3 linked regions of the Solanum lycopersicum genome follow. The protein of the gene in region 3 binds, or shares a complex with, the protein of the main gene of each other region. Links are inferred from orthologs where the notes say so. Each region holds a gene or a part of one and is shown on either strand. Other genes may lie near its edges. The genes, in order: mitotic spindle checkpoint protein MAD2, mitotic spindle checkpoint protein BUBR1 and mitotic spindle checkpoint protein MAD1.

What was found.
Region 1: mitotic spindle checkpoint protein MAD1 (region 3) and mitotic spindle checkpoint protein MAD2 share a complex: the UniProt entries of both Arabidopsis thaliana proteins name them as parts of the mitotic checkpoint complex. The link is inferred for Solanum lycopersicum from reciprocal best matches to the Arabidopsis thaliana genes MAD1 and MAD2.
Region 2: mitotic spindle checkpoint protein MAD1 (region 3) and mitotic spindle checkpoint protein BUBR1 share a complex: the UniProt entries of both Arabidopsis thaliana proteins name them as parts of the mitotic checkpoint complex. The link is inferred for Solanum lycopersicum from reciprocal best matches to the Arabidopsis thaliana genes MAD1 and BUBR1.

Annotation. Positions count from the first base shown.
Region 1 is NC_090804.1:8,537,790-8,541,682, reverse strand, and holds mitotic spindle checkpoint protein MAD2, read left to right. Parts: upstream 1-1,365; 5' UTR 1,366-1,547; coding exon 1,548-1,636; intron 1,637-2,091; coding exon 2,092-2,222; intron 2,223-2,315; coding exon 2,316-2,436; intron 2,437-2,636; coding exon 2,637-2,740; intron 2,741-2,843; coding exon 2,844-2,965; intron 2,966-3,050; coding exon 3,051-3,110; 3' UTR 3,111-3,310; downstream 3,311-3,893. UniProt on the Arabidopsis thaliana protein: Required for the execution of the mitotic checkpoint which monitors the process of kinetochore-spindle attachment and delays the onset of anaphase when this process is not complete.
Region 2 is NC_090803.1:68,279,347-68,283,698, forward strand, and holds the start of mitotic spindle checkpoint protein BUBR1, read right to left. Parts: upstream 2,932-4,352; 5' UTR 2,741-2,931; coding exon 2,541-2,740; intron 2,366-2,540; coding exon 2,306-2,365; intron 2,183-2,305; coding exon 2,038-2,182; intron 1,944-2,037; coding exon 1,786-1,943; intron 35-1,785; coding exon 1-34. UniProt on the Arabidopsis thaliana protein: Essential component of the mitotic checkpoint. Required for normal mitosis progression. The mitotic checkpoint delays anaphase until all chromosomes are properly attached to the mitotic spindle.
Region 3 is NC_090800.1:87,722,360-87,726,552, forward strand, and holds the start of mitotic spindle checkpoint protein MAD1, read right to left. Parts: upstream 2,949-4,193; 5' UTR 2,706-2,948; coding exon 2,526-2,705; intron 1,683-2,525; coding exon 1,583-1,682; intron 950-1,582; coding exon 789-949; intron 1-788. UniProt on the Arabidopsis thaliana protein: Required for the execution of the mitotic checkpoint which monitors the process of kinetochore-spindle attachment and delays the onset of anaphase when this process is not complete.

The sequences.
Region 1 (3,893 bases), on a different chromosome or scaffold from region 3:
TGATAGTTATATACAAAAAAATATTTGAGGTATAATATGTATATTTCTGTATATTTAAGTACTATATTAATGTACACATAATTATATACATATAGAGTTTATAGTTATATACAACCATATACATATAGAGTTTATAGTTATATACAACCATAAATAGTTCTTATTTATACAAATAGTTTATATGTGTAACGTATATAATTGAAAATATTAATTAATTGTATAAATATTCGATTTACATATTGACATATACTTTTTATCGTTTTCATAGGGATTTATTTTCATTTGCAAATAACCACGAAAATACGCCCCCCACATGCAGTGGTATACATATACAACTCATACATATAACATTACTCGATTTTTTTAACCAACAATTAGAATAGAATTGTTAATATACAATTTGTTTATATTTTTATGACCAAATATAACTACTTGCAATTTTAAAAATTTCAATTATATACTATGCAAATCAATCTTATTCTTTTTCACACTTTAAAACATGAAGTTTTCTTAAAAGAAAAATATACAAGAATATTGACGAACCATGAATTTTTCATTTTATATTTGCTTTTGTGGTACGAGGATAACAATTGTTATGATGTTTGTATTGTTATAGAACTCTTTTTGAAAAAATATTTGATTTGAAAGATTAACTTGAATCATGGGATTATGCAAGTATTTTGTTACCTTATTACCGTTCATGTATCCATTTATTAAGTAGAATATTACATAAATTATGAAAAATTGCACAAGTACCCTCCTATACTATGTCTGAAATCACAGAGAAACACCTTAACTAAATAAGGTCCTATTACCTCCACCCCCTCCCCTTACACTTATTTTTTGTAACTTTGTGCACCTTTTTAGCTTACGTGACATTCAAATATCTCGTACGTGTCTCAATCGCGTGGAGCCACGAAGTGTGCCACATAAGACAAAAAGTGCTCAAAATTACAAAAAAAAAAGTTCAGGGGTAATAGGAAGTTAATTTAATTAAGGTGTGTCTCTAGAATTCCAGTTATAGTCTGGGGATACTTATGCATTTTCCTCATAAATTATAAACAAAAAAAACTTAATATGCAAATTAAATGCTCCATAGCAAACTAAATTATACTCGTAAAATATAATTATATAAGACAAAAAGTGCTCAAAATTACAAAAAAAAAAGTTCAGGGATAATAGGAAGTTAATTTAGTTAAGGTGTGTCTCTAGAATTTCAGTTATAGTCTGGGGATACTTATGTATTTTCCTTATAAATTATAAACAAAAAAAACTTAATATGCAAATTAAATGCTCCATAGCAAACTAAATTATACTCATAAGATATAATTATATAAACTATACTTATATAAGTTATAAATTTTCAGTGTGGCCCAATTTTTGCACTAAACCCATCTGACCGTTGTTTTGTGTCATTTCCAAAAACTAGCCGTTGCTTCTTCCACTATGTTTCTCAATTCTCATAAAAACCCTAAATTCATCTCTGATTCTCTCACAAGCAATCAATCTCCATAACCATTTTTCTACTTCTATTTCCTAATCTGAAAATGGCGTCAAGAACAGCCTCCAAAGACATAATCACACTTCGTGGTTCCGCCGCAATCGTCAGTGAATATTTTGGCTATGCTGCAAACAGGTAACAACTCGGAATTCCTGTTTTTTTCATATCAAATTTTGGTTATGTAGACTTGCACGTTGTTCACATAGTGATCGGATCTCAGATTTAGATAGATTTCACAAAACCCCTAAATTTGCTTTGAAAATTAATTATCAACCTGAAATTCAGCCCAATGAAATTGGGTTTGAGCAGATTAGTAATGAAATTGGATTGAATAGATTTCATCAATCGATACGTTGTTGATTTTCCGATTGATTGAATAAAATGCTTTGTGTTCTTCGTTTATTTACCTGCATTGGACTAAAATGGGCTACAATAGAGCGGATGAATTGATTTATCTGACTGATTCCAATTAGTTTTACGTTGGCCATCGGCCATTGTTGATTGATTAATTCCTTTTATGTTCGTTGTTTATGGTTTTGTCTGAATGCTGATTTTTTTTTTTTGAATTTGTGCGGGGATTATGTATTTAGCATTTTGTACAACAGAGGAGTATATCCTGAAGAAAGTTTTAAGAAAGTGAAGAAATATGGTCTCACAATGTTGCTTACTGAAGATGAAGGTGTCAAGACCTTTGTTTCCAACTTGACTGCCCAACTTGCTGGTAAGTTGTAGAATTTTGACGAGGCTGTAGATTGGTTCAGATCATATATTAGGTAGTGAAATGATTGTTTTCTTAACGATTTTGTTCATGTAGAGTGGTTGGAAACTGGAAAGCTACAAAGGGTGGTTCTTGTCATCATGAGTAAGGCCTCTGGTGAGGTATTAGAAAGGTGGAATTTCAGTATCGAAACTGATAGTGAGGTTGTCCAGAAAGGGTAAGATGTTAATCATCTTTGGTTAATAATTGTGGATTGAAAGAAGTGTATGTTGGAGTTATTATGGCAGAAGACCTATAATTTCGTTCGTGTGCTTAAATAGTCCAGAGCCAAATACTCAACCCTGGCTTGCTTTTGATGTCTTCGTATGTTGGATTGTTTGTTAAATAATTAGCTAAATGGTTTATTTGATTTTCCAGTGTTTCAAGAGAGAAAAGTGATAAAGAAATAATGAGGGAAATTCAAGCGATTATGAGGCAAATAGCGTCCAGCATCACTTATTTGCCGTGCCTTGAGGAACCATGTAAGCATCATTTGTGCTTGGATGTTACGATACAATGGCAATGTTGCTTTTTTGGGATGTTTCTTGATGAGATTTCTTGTTTCATTTGTGTGTATGGCTGTAGGTGTGTTTGATGTGTTAGCATACACTGATATGGATGTTGCAGTTCCATTCACTTGGATTGAGAGTGACCCTAAACTGATTGCGAATCCACAAATGGTGAAACTGCACTCTTTTGACACTAAGGTAGGAGCAATTTGCTGCTTGATTCTGATACGAATCCCCTGGATATTTCGGTGACCCTAACTCGAGTTTTGTTTTCTCTATGCAGATTCATAAGGTTGACACATTGGTTTCATATAAGAATGATGATGAATGGGATGAGTCCTAGACCATGGATCCTTGTTGTACCTTACTTTTGTTGTCATTGTGAATCATTGATTCACATTTTGTATGTTAGATTGTGTAAACCTTGAAACATCTATTAGTTTGTATCCTGAATGAGTATTGAAGGAAATTGAACAATTAGATCAATTTCTCCGTGTGAACATGTTTTTTGCCTTGTGAAATATATTTGGGTACTTTTTTACACGTCCTTGTTGTCTACACATTGCCATAGCACATAATAATGTTGTTTGCGTCGGCTTGGATTTATACGCAACTCAAATTATGTTGAAATTTTGGTTTTTTTCTTTCTTCCGTCTCCCCCAACTACGCAGGCAATTTCTTGAACGGAGAAAATAAATACTTTTTTTGACTTTTGAAATTTGCCTTCAACATTCTCTAAAAAAGAGAGGTAACGGGGGAAGAAGATCAGTGTGCCTTTTTTATTCTTACATACAAAGTTATCATGCCGTTAAAAATAAATAATCAATTAATGTCATGATCTTTTTGTCGAAGTTAACGGATTGCACATAAATTATAGTGTTTTTAGTCTAATAAAATAAGAAAGTAATAAAAAAATTTGGATCCTCATGAATCGGGAAATTTGAACCCGACGTGAATCGAACACGCAACCTTCTGATCTGGAGTCAGACGCGCTACCATTGCGCCACGGATCCTTGGATGGCTAAAGTCTTCCATTTTTGATAGTCATTACATCTCTGTATTATTTTGGGAAGTGGATGAAATAATAACAATAAGAAGAAGAAGAAGAAGAAATAAATCTTTGATG
Region 2 (4,352 bases), on a different chromosome or scaffold from region 3:
GGATACTTTCAATTTCTCTTCAGGTTCTGCATTCCTGATTCATAGGAGACGGAAATTTTAATCATAAACCAGCTGAGGGAGTCAGTAAATAGGCTTATAAGTGGATGAGAACAAGCAGGAGGAAGGTTACTTGGTGTAATCAGTGTTCTGTACTTGTATTAACTGTATCTCTAATGGAAAAGACTCATTAGTGGCTAAGAAAGCTTGAAAAAAGAGCATCCACAATCTTGTTGAGGCAGCCCAAGGGGTCGTTTAGTTGTTGGTTAGATTATTCATATATTAAAATCTGCATAAACTAGTACCATTTTTGGCAGCATTTTAGTTGCTATGTATAAAACTCAGCACATCAAGTATGGTTTTTTGCTTACGGTTTACAATCTCACATAACTAAAACATGTACTAGTTAGGCGTCAATCTATGTATTATTTTATGCAGCTTTGAAGATGGTATAACTAATACATGAATTAGTAATACGTAAATAATTGAACCCTACATAACTAATACCTGCACAACTCTATCCAACAACCAAACTACCCCCAAAGGTATTTAGGTGTCAGGTAATATCTAAAACCAATTGAGCATCCACAATAATATCATGCCAAATATATTAGAATTTTCACCTTGCTGTAGCATTATTCTGCCAGCAAGTTTGGCCAGCATCATAGCATTCACATCCCCATCAGAAGTTAAAACAAGTAGAGAGAGAATATAAAAGGTCCCTCAAGAATGAGGCAAATGTGAACAAGAAATAAATATTTCAATATATTCTTATGTCAACAGTTGATAGCTAGAGCATTTTATTAGAAACACATACAGAGACTTGCTGTTTTGAAGGCATGAAATGCTCTTAGTAGAAAATCATGCTATACAAGTTACAAACAACATGATTAGGTTGTGTAATTAAGCAAAGTTCAATGAACAGTGGCACTGGCTATTTTGCATGCTGCCATACCTGAAATATCTATATTAGCTAAATAAATGATTAATTCCAGAGCACAAATTTCTCAATGATAACGTCTCTGTTGTTCATCCTGTACAAATGCTTAACATAATTGTGTGACATGGTACTATCTGATTCAATTGATGCCTATAAAGGAACCAATCATTTCATAATTCAAAAAGATACATGTAGTTCTTCATAATCATATTACTCGGCTTATACAAAATTTCCTTAATAAGGATATCAAATATGTTCATCATATGGCAATTAATAATTATAAAGTTTTCTAGAAGCATACCACTGTCATACGATCACGGCCTTTAGTTTATTATTCGGTCACATGAGCATATATTGAAAGAACATAAAATAAGGGACCGTAAGCAATGTAATCTACCACAGTTCTGACCTCTGAGCTTATCAAATGAAATTGTCTTAGTATTCAAGGTATGAAAATTAGTAGGTCAATATGAAGGGGACACCACATACTTATCCGTGCAGCTTCATACTTAACACTGAACTCATTTTGGCGAAGCTTCAAACATAAATCCCCTCCCCCCCCCCCCCCCAGCCCCCACACATTACTCAATACTAGCATACAATTAATGCAACTTTCGTAGACATCATTAGACTTGACATATCAAACGCTATTTGAACAAAAATATCAGACAGCAATTCAATAAACCATTTGAATGATGCATCTCACATCATAGACAACATATAGCATAACTTCTCTGGAACCAAGACGTGTTCACTTGCCTAGTGTGAAGTGAAACACAATGTTAACTATGCAAGAACCTAACTTTACGGCTAAAATTAAACCAAGGCTCAATGGAAACACAACTTACATAGATAGCCCCCGATTGAAGATCTCGTTTGCTGTTTTAATTTTATTTTGAGATTCCATGTGCAAAGCATAGGCTATGTAGAATGAAGAATGTGTCAGTCCAATTTTGTTAGCCTCCAGAAAGCTATAAATGACTTCAGCATCCATACAATTTTCAGCCTGCAAAGAGCCATCAATAAGAAAACTGATTTACCAAATTGCATGATGAGAAGATTTAGGGGCAAAAGAATGGATGTGGAGAAATCAAACTCACATATTCCAGCCACACTTTCAAGTAACGGAGGTCATTCTTATATAGTTCATCGTGCCAAAAGGTGCGGACACATTGTTCATAAATAACTATAAGTCCAGAACTGTCCCCACCGGGAGGGAAAGCCTCTTGCACCCACTTGATGCACCTTCACAATTTTAATGTAAAATTATGTCAGCAGTTTATTCAATAACAGAGATTGACTCATTAAATGCTAGTAGAAGATATAAGAGTTGAAAAATTATTTGCATCTGAAAAGAAGAGCACTCACTGGAGCCATGGGTGAAGAGGATCTTCACCTTTGTACTTGTCAATTGCTTCAATAAATTCCCTAATCAGAAAGAGTTGAATTCAAAAATTAATAAGGGATGCAGCAACTGCTACTATTCTACAACTAGCGTGTACATCTTAATCAAAATCTAGTGCGGGATGGAATAGTAATTGCATTTTGGACCAACCTCAGGAGTAAATGTCATGAAAATGCAAAGAAGAAGAAATAGAGGAACCTTCGTTTGTCAAGAAGAGATTTCTTGAGTTGATAATCGGTACTAGACTTAAGAGCATTATTGAGAAGATTAACGTTGCGTCCTCTCTTCAAAGGTCTGACATTTTCCTTGAAGAGTTCCCACTCGTGACCAGTCTCTTGCTTCGACGCTAAGAACTCTGCCTCCTTATCCAATACGTAATCTCCTCCTACCTTCTCCATTTCTTCTTCTTGCTGCTTCCTTGTGGTGGTGTTTTTTTGAGAGCCTTCTTTCAAATTTGAAATTGTTTTGTGCCCTAAACCCTTCCTTTCATAGCCGTTGGACCCTCCTTTAAATTCCAGATTTTCGCAATATTATTGGTCCCACCATGATTGAATATAAGATAAGTAATGTTTTTTAACGAGTGCGCTACTACAAACAACAAAGTGGGCCAAGTACATCGAATTTAGACCGTTGGAATTTACCCGGAAATTAATAATATGACCTATTAGTAAAATATTTAATTCAATTTAATTCAAATTTAGAGATTTAGTTTATGTGACAATGAAATCTTATTTGCAATCAATCTGATATTCACATAATATTTAACAATTTTCATCAATAAGAAGATATTTTTAATCTAATAGTTTGACGGGAATGATAGTTTTGAGCCGAAATATAGTTTAAGGATAAATATGAGCTATTTCGAATAGTTTAAGGGTATTTTTTACCCCTTTTCCATTTATTCTATGTGGCAGTAGAACCAAATTGACATGGAATGTGACATCCACATGACATTTAACAAATTCCGTTAATAAGAAATATATTTTTGACCCAATAGTATTATGGGAAGGATAGTTTTGAACTGAAATATAGTTTAAACGTAAATATGAGTTATTTCAGATAGTTTATGAATATTTATGAGTCTTTTTCGTTAAAATAATAATTAATCAATATTATTTATTGACTAGTGGTTAATTATAAAAATAATACAAATTTATAATTTCAAACATTTATTTTTTAAAAAATACAAAGATTAAGTTATTAAAAATACATTAGAGATGGCAATGCGGTGGTGTAGGGTGGGGTGTTGCGGGTTGAGCTTAACCCGCAAAAATTTTAATCTGCCGCGCCTCGCCGCGCCCTGCATGACAACTCTTTTCATTTTCAACCTGCCTCCCATAATTTTTTTAATATTTTCTTTTTCTAATTATATTTGATACTAAGATAAAATTCATAAAAATAAATTTATCTTTTCATTAAGTTGTATTAATTTAATAGGATAGTAATTTAAAATTTAGGCCAAATACAGAAGCAGATCCCTAAACTTGTTAGGTTTTTTTCCTCAGGTACCTTAACTACGTCATTTTCCTATTGAATAATTGAACTCCCATAATTTGTTCTGTTTAATCAAACACTGTTGTCTGATGTGAAATCAGATTTGTGAGGGGTATTGATAGAGGATACATATGTTGTTCCACAAATAATTAGTCCAATTGAAAGTGAAAATGTTTGAGAATAATTATGTTTTACTTGAGTCATTTGAACACATTAGAAAACAAATGAGACTAACACAGTTAGTCTTCATTCCTTCAATCAAAATTATTACAATTCGAACACAATTGAAGACATTTACAATAGAAAAGCTGATCAAAATCAACCAACAGTGTTTTAAAGAAACAAATTATGGGTGGTTGAATGATTCAATTGAAAAATGACGTAGTTGAGGTACATGAGGGGAAAAACCCAACAAGTTTAGGGATTTGTTTATGTAGTTGGCCTAAAAATTATTTTTAAGAGGTCAACTGGGAAATTGGTAAGAAATTTTATTATTTTTATTAAACCATTTTTATT
Region 3 (4,193 bases):
TGTACACATTATTAGTCACAAATCAGTGTCATTATCATTATAACTTGAAAATTATGGTCCCTGCTACTTTTTATTTCAGTTGGAAAGAAAAAAAATGTAATAAAGTTTAAGATGCAGTCTAATCAGATTAAGATAGTGTCTGACTCGCTTCTTACAGAGTCCATGTTCAGTCTTGGTTGGTTCCAAGACTTTTGCAGGGTAAATGCGATGACTCCAGTTGTTTTGGAGCACAGAGTGCAAAAATTGGCTTGGTTTCAAGATGTAGAATCTAAGAAGGATCTCATTTGATATATATTCAAAGTGATTTATAAGTGGAAACTGCTTATTATCCTCAACAACAACATACCCAATATAGTCCCACAAGTGGGTTTCCTCTCCAGATCACTTATACACGGGCTATTCAGAGGAAGGGGTTGAGTGTTTTCAATATGATTTTTTTCTTGTATTTGTTCAATGAGAAATGCTAATTTGTTTCGTCCCCTTACGTCATCCCCCTCTATCAAAATGATCGAAAAGGAAAGCGAGATTGCTTCTTATTCCCATTTGATCTCTTCCATCTGTGTGTCTAAGAATTCCTTGTCAAAAAGAGAGTGTAGTCTCTTCCTAGGCATAAATTATCACACTTACCAAACCAAATTGCCTTAAAGTTAAGTTCAATTTACAGATTAGACCAAATTATTGATGAACTCATACAGCAGCTTAAAAACATGCCAGCCAAAGAGAACCCATTAATTCTTCTCAAGAATGTGACATAAATATAATGAGAAATGACAATTAACATCTAGCACCTCAAGTTCATTGTACAACTGCAACTGTTTTCTGAGCCGTTCATGAGAAACGTTGACCTCCTTCATTAGCTGGTCCTGCAGAGCCTCTTCACGCCCTTTAGCAGCAGCTAGTTCTTGCTCTGCATTGAGAAATTGATCACGAAATTTCTTCCTTTCAGCATCTGCACGTGTAATTCATGTCATCATGCAAATTAATCAATAAGTATTGGAGTATACTTTGCAGAAAAGGTGAATTACAAACCAAATAGTCATTATCCCTCCAGTGGAGTAAAGGGTCAGTGGTGAACAGAGAGAAAAAAATACAAAGGAAATTAACAAAAGAAAAATAAAAGGCATGACAGTTGCTACAAAGGAGTCAACACATGATTAAGGAGACAAAAGATATGAAGACAAATAATATCACTCCAATATGTGTATGAATGGATGTATGTTTGTGTGTATCTATATATGTATGCCTGTATCCATTTATGTAAACACGTGTGTGTATGTTGGAAAGTTACTTCAGTGAAGTTGCCAGTTCTCACATATAAATTTTGAAATAAAGAAGACAGCCTTTTAACAATTGAAATCAGGGGAGCAATTGAACTGTACAAACAAGATTAGCTTAGCCAAGGAACAATTGTAGTGTGCTCTATAGATGTCTCTATCAAAGAATCTTCATTCTCTGGTGTAAAAGTGCATTAAATTGAGCAGTAGAAGGTAAACTTTTAAAAAAGTTTGTTGAAAGGACAAGGAGAAACAAAATCATGTACCCAGTCTATCATAATTCACAGAATTGGATATTTATCACTCACCAGCTTTAAGATAATCATTGTTTAGTGCTTCAAGTTTCGATTGGTTATCACGAGCTTGCTTTTCTGCACTGCTTAAGGCATCAAAAAACTCTGACTTCACCTGATAACAGAATTTGTTTTATATAGATATAAGCAAACTCGTGCAGGCTATCACAAGAACTGAGTACAATAAATAGACAGGGAGCCGTTGATCGGTCATTGGCCAATATAAGAGACACAAGAATGTTAACTTAAAGGAATATATTATTTAACTCAGAGGTCTTCCATCATCTTCTGTGACGCTATCCAAATGTGCTAACCAAGATTAGCTCAATTTGAGTCCATTTAAGATGCAATTATAAGTTGTTCTTTAGTGAAGTAAGTACATTTGTGTTATCAAAAAAGATGAAGTAGATTGTGTTAATGGAGGGCATAAAACACCTGTATGCAAGTAGTATACAGAAAACTAGCAAACAATGTTCTAATTAATTTATATAAAAAAATCTTGCTTGTGATTAGTTCATTGTGAAGAAGCTCAGCCTCAAGTTGACTCAAGAATCAACTACGAATTGGTATACACATCTAAGAGCAAATTCTATCAACATATGAATAAACTTTGAATATAAAGCTCATCAAGGAATCAACCCAAGTTCGAAAAACCATTCTCTTAACATGGATTAATTAGCACTCCAGTAGCAATAAAATCACAGACATGTTTAGTCTGGGAAAATCTCATTAGGTGGACAAAGCGAAAAAACTGAAACAGTCAAGGGAATGGGTGCACCTACTATCTTCATCTCAAGATATATACATAAATAGTTGCAATTTCCACTACCACATAAGAAGAAAAATAGGTATAAGCCTCACTATGTCTGCAGTCACTGATTTAAAACCTTGAATTTACTAAAAAATCAATTCAATACTGGAATTGTAATGAAGAGAGTGGGAATTAATGAATGAATACCATTTGGCGGCATTGATAAGTGCAGAGCATTTGTTCGGAAGATTCTGGGTGATGGTGAGATGATTCCGGCAACGGTGTATCCTCGAAGATGACAAGCTGCTGATTGCCGGAGCTGGGACTTCCATCTTCCGGTTGATTGCTCTGCGCCTTTCGCTTGAATGGTGGTGTTCTCAGGATCATAATACTAGGGTTTTGATAACTTCTACAGTAATTGAATCAAGCTCCGATGATGGCGATTGATGAAAATGTAAGAGGCGAAGCAGCTACTGCAAGTGTTTCGAAAACTGAGGCGCCAATTGGTGAATCGGACCCAAATAATCCGTCGCCAGAGATGACCCGAATCCCTTTGGGCTACTGCTACACTTGTTTGGGTCATTCCCACAAATGTCCTTATTTTGGGCCTCTCACTAATTTTTGCTCTTCAAAATAGGAGTAATATTTAATATCTTTATTTTTGAGTAACACTCACGTGTAACAAACATAAAATTCATATTGGCTTATTATAGGCTTACAGCTATAGTTTGCATAATTAAGATCCATAGCAAATATAAATATGTATATTTCGTTATACATATACAAAAAAAAAACAGATGTATAATTTGCTATACACATACAAACAAAACAGTTGTTAATTCGTTATACATATACAAAAGAAAACAGTTGTATACAAAAGATCAATTATATAATTGGTGTATGTATAAAACGAGAAATGGAGAAAAGCAAAAAAAGCTGGGTAGGAAAATATTTATATTGTATAATTATAAGTGTATATACATTTACACGTGTATATACAATTTTCTATCGCTTTATACAAACAGAAACGTAATTTATACATTTCGTTTCTGTTTGTATAAGGAGAGAGGCGAGCGAGATCTGGGAGAGTGGCGAGCGAGATATGGGAGAGTGGAGAGCGAGATATGGAAGAGGAGAGAGAGGAAAACGAAAATATACGTATATATACAATTTCCTGGCGATTTATACAAACACAAACGCATTTTATACATTTGTGTTTGTATAAAAAGCAAGAGAGGTGAGTGAGACTGCCACCAAACGAGAGTGGCGAGCGAGATCCACCAAGTAAAGAGGCGAAAATAACAATAGTTTGCTATAGGGCACAATTAAATCGAAGCTTGTTTACAACATTTAATTTGAATTAATAACTTGCTATTTTATACAATTTCCTTTATTTTTTAGAGCGTAAAAAATGAAAAACGAGATATAAGTTCAGTTAAAGCTATATCCTAGAACAATAATTTAGTAACACAAATTATGATCCCAAGACCCCATTAAAAAAAAAAACTCAAAGACACAAGTTATGCTTCAGTGGCTCAAATTAGAAATCCAAATATCAGATATTATAAAATTTATACTTCAATCTAAACACTCTCTAAAAAAATTTGCCTTTGTGATATTAGTTTTGCCCAACAAATTTAGGTCACAATTTAAAGTACTTATTAGGTCCACAAATTTTCATTAAATAGACAATAAAGGCAAAAATTAAAGACCATAAATTTAATGGACAAAAAATTAATATCATCCCAAAACAAAGGTATTCTATGCAAAAACTTTAACTTGTTGTAAGCATAAGATAATTAACCACTAAAAATAAGCACATGAGACTAACTAATAAAACAAGTGCTTAAAAACTTTTTTTTTTTATTTACTTGT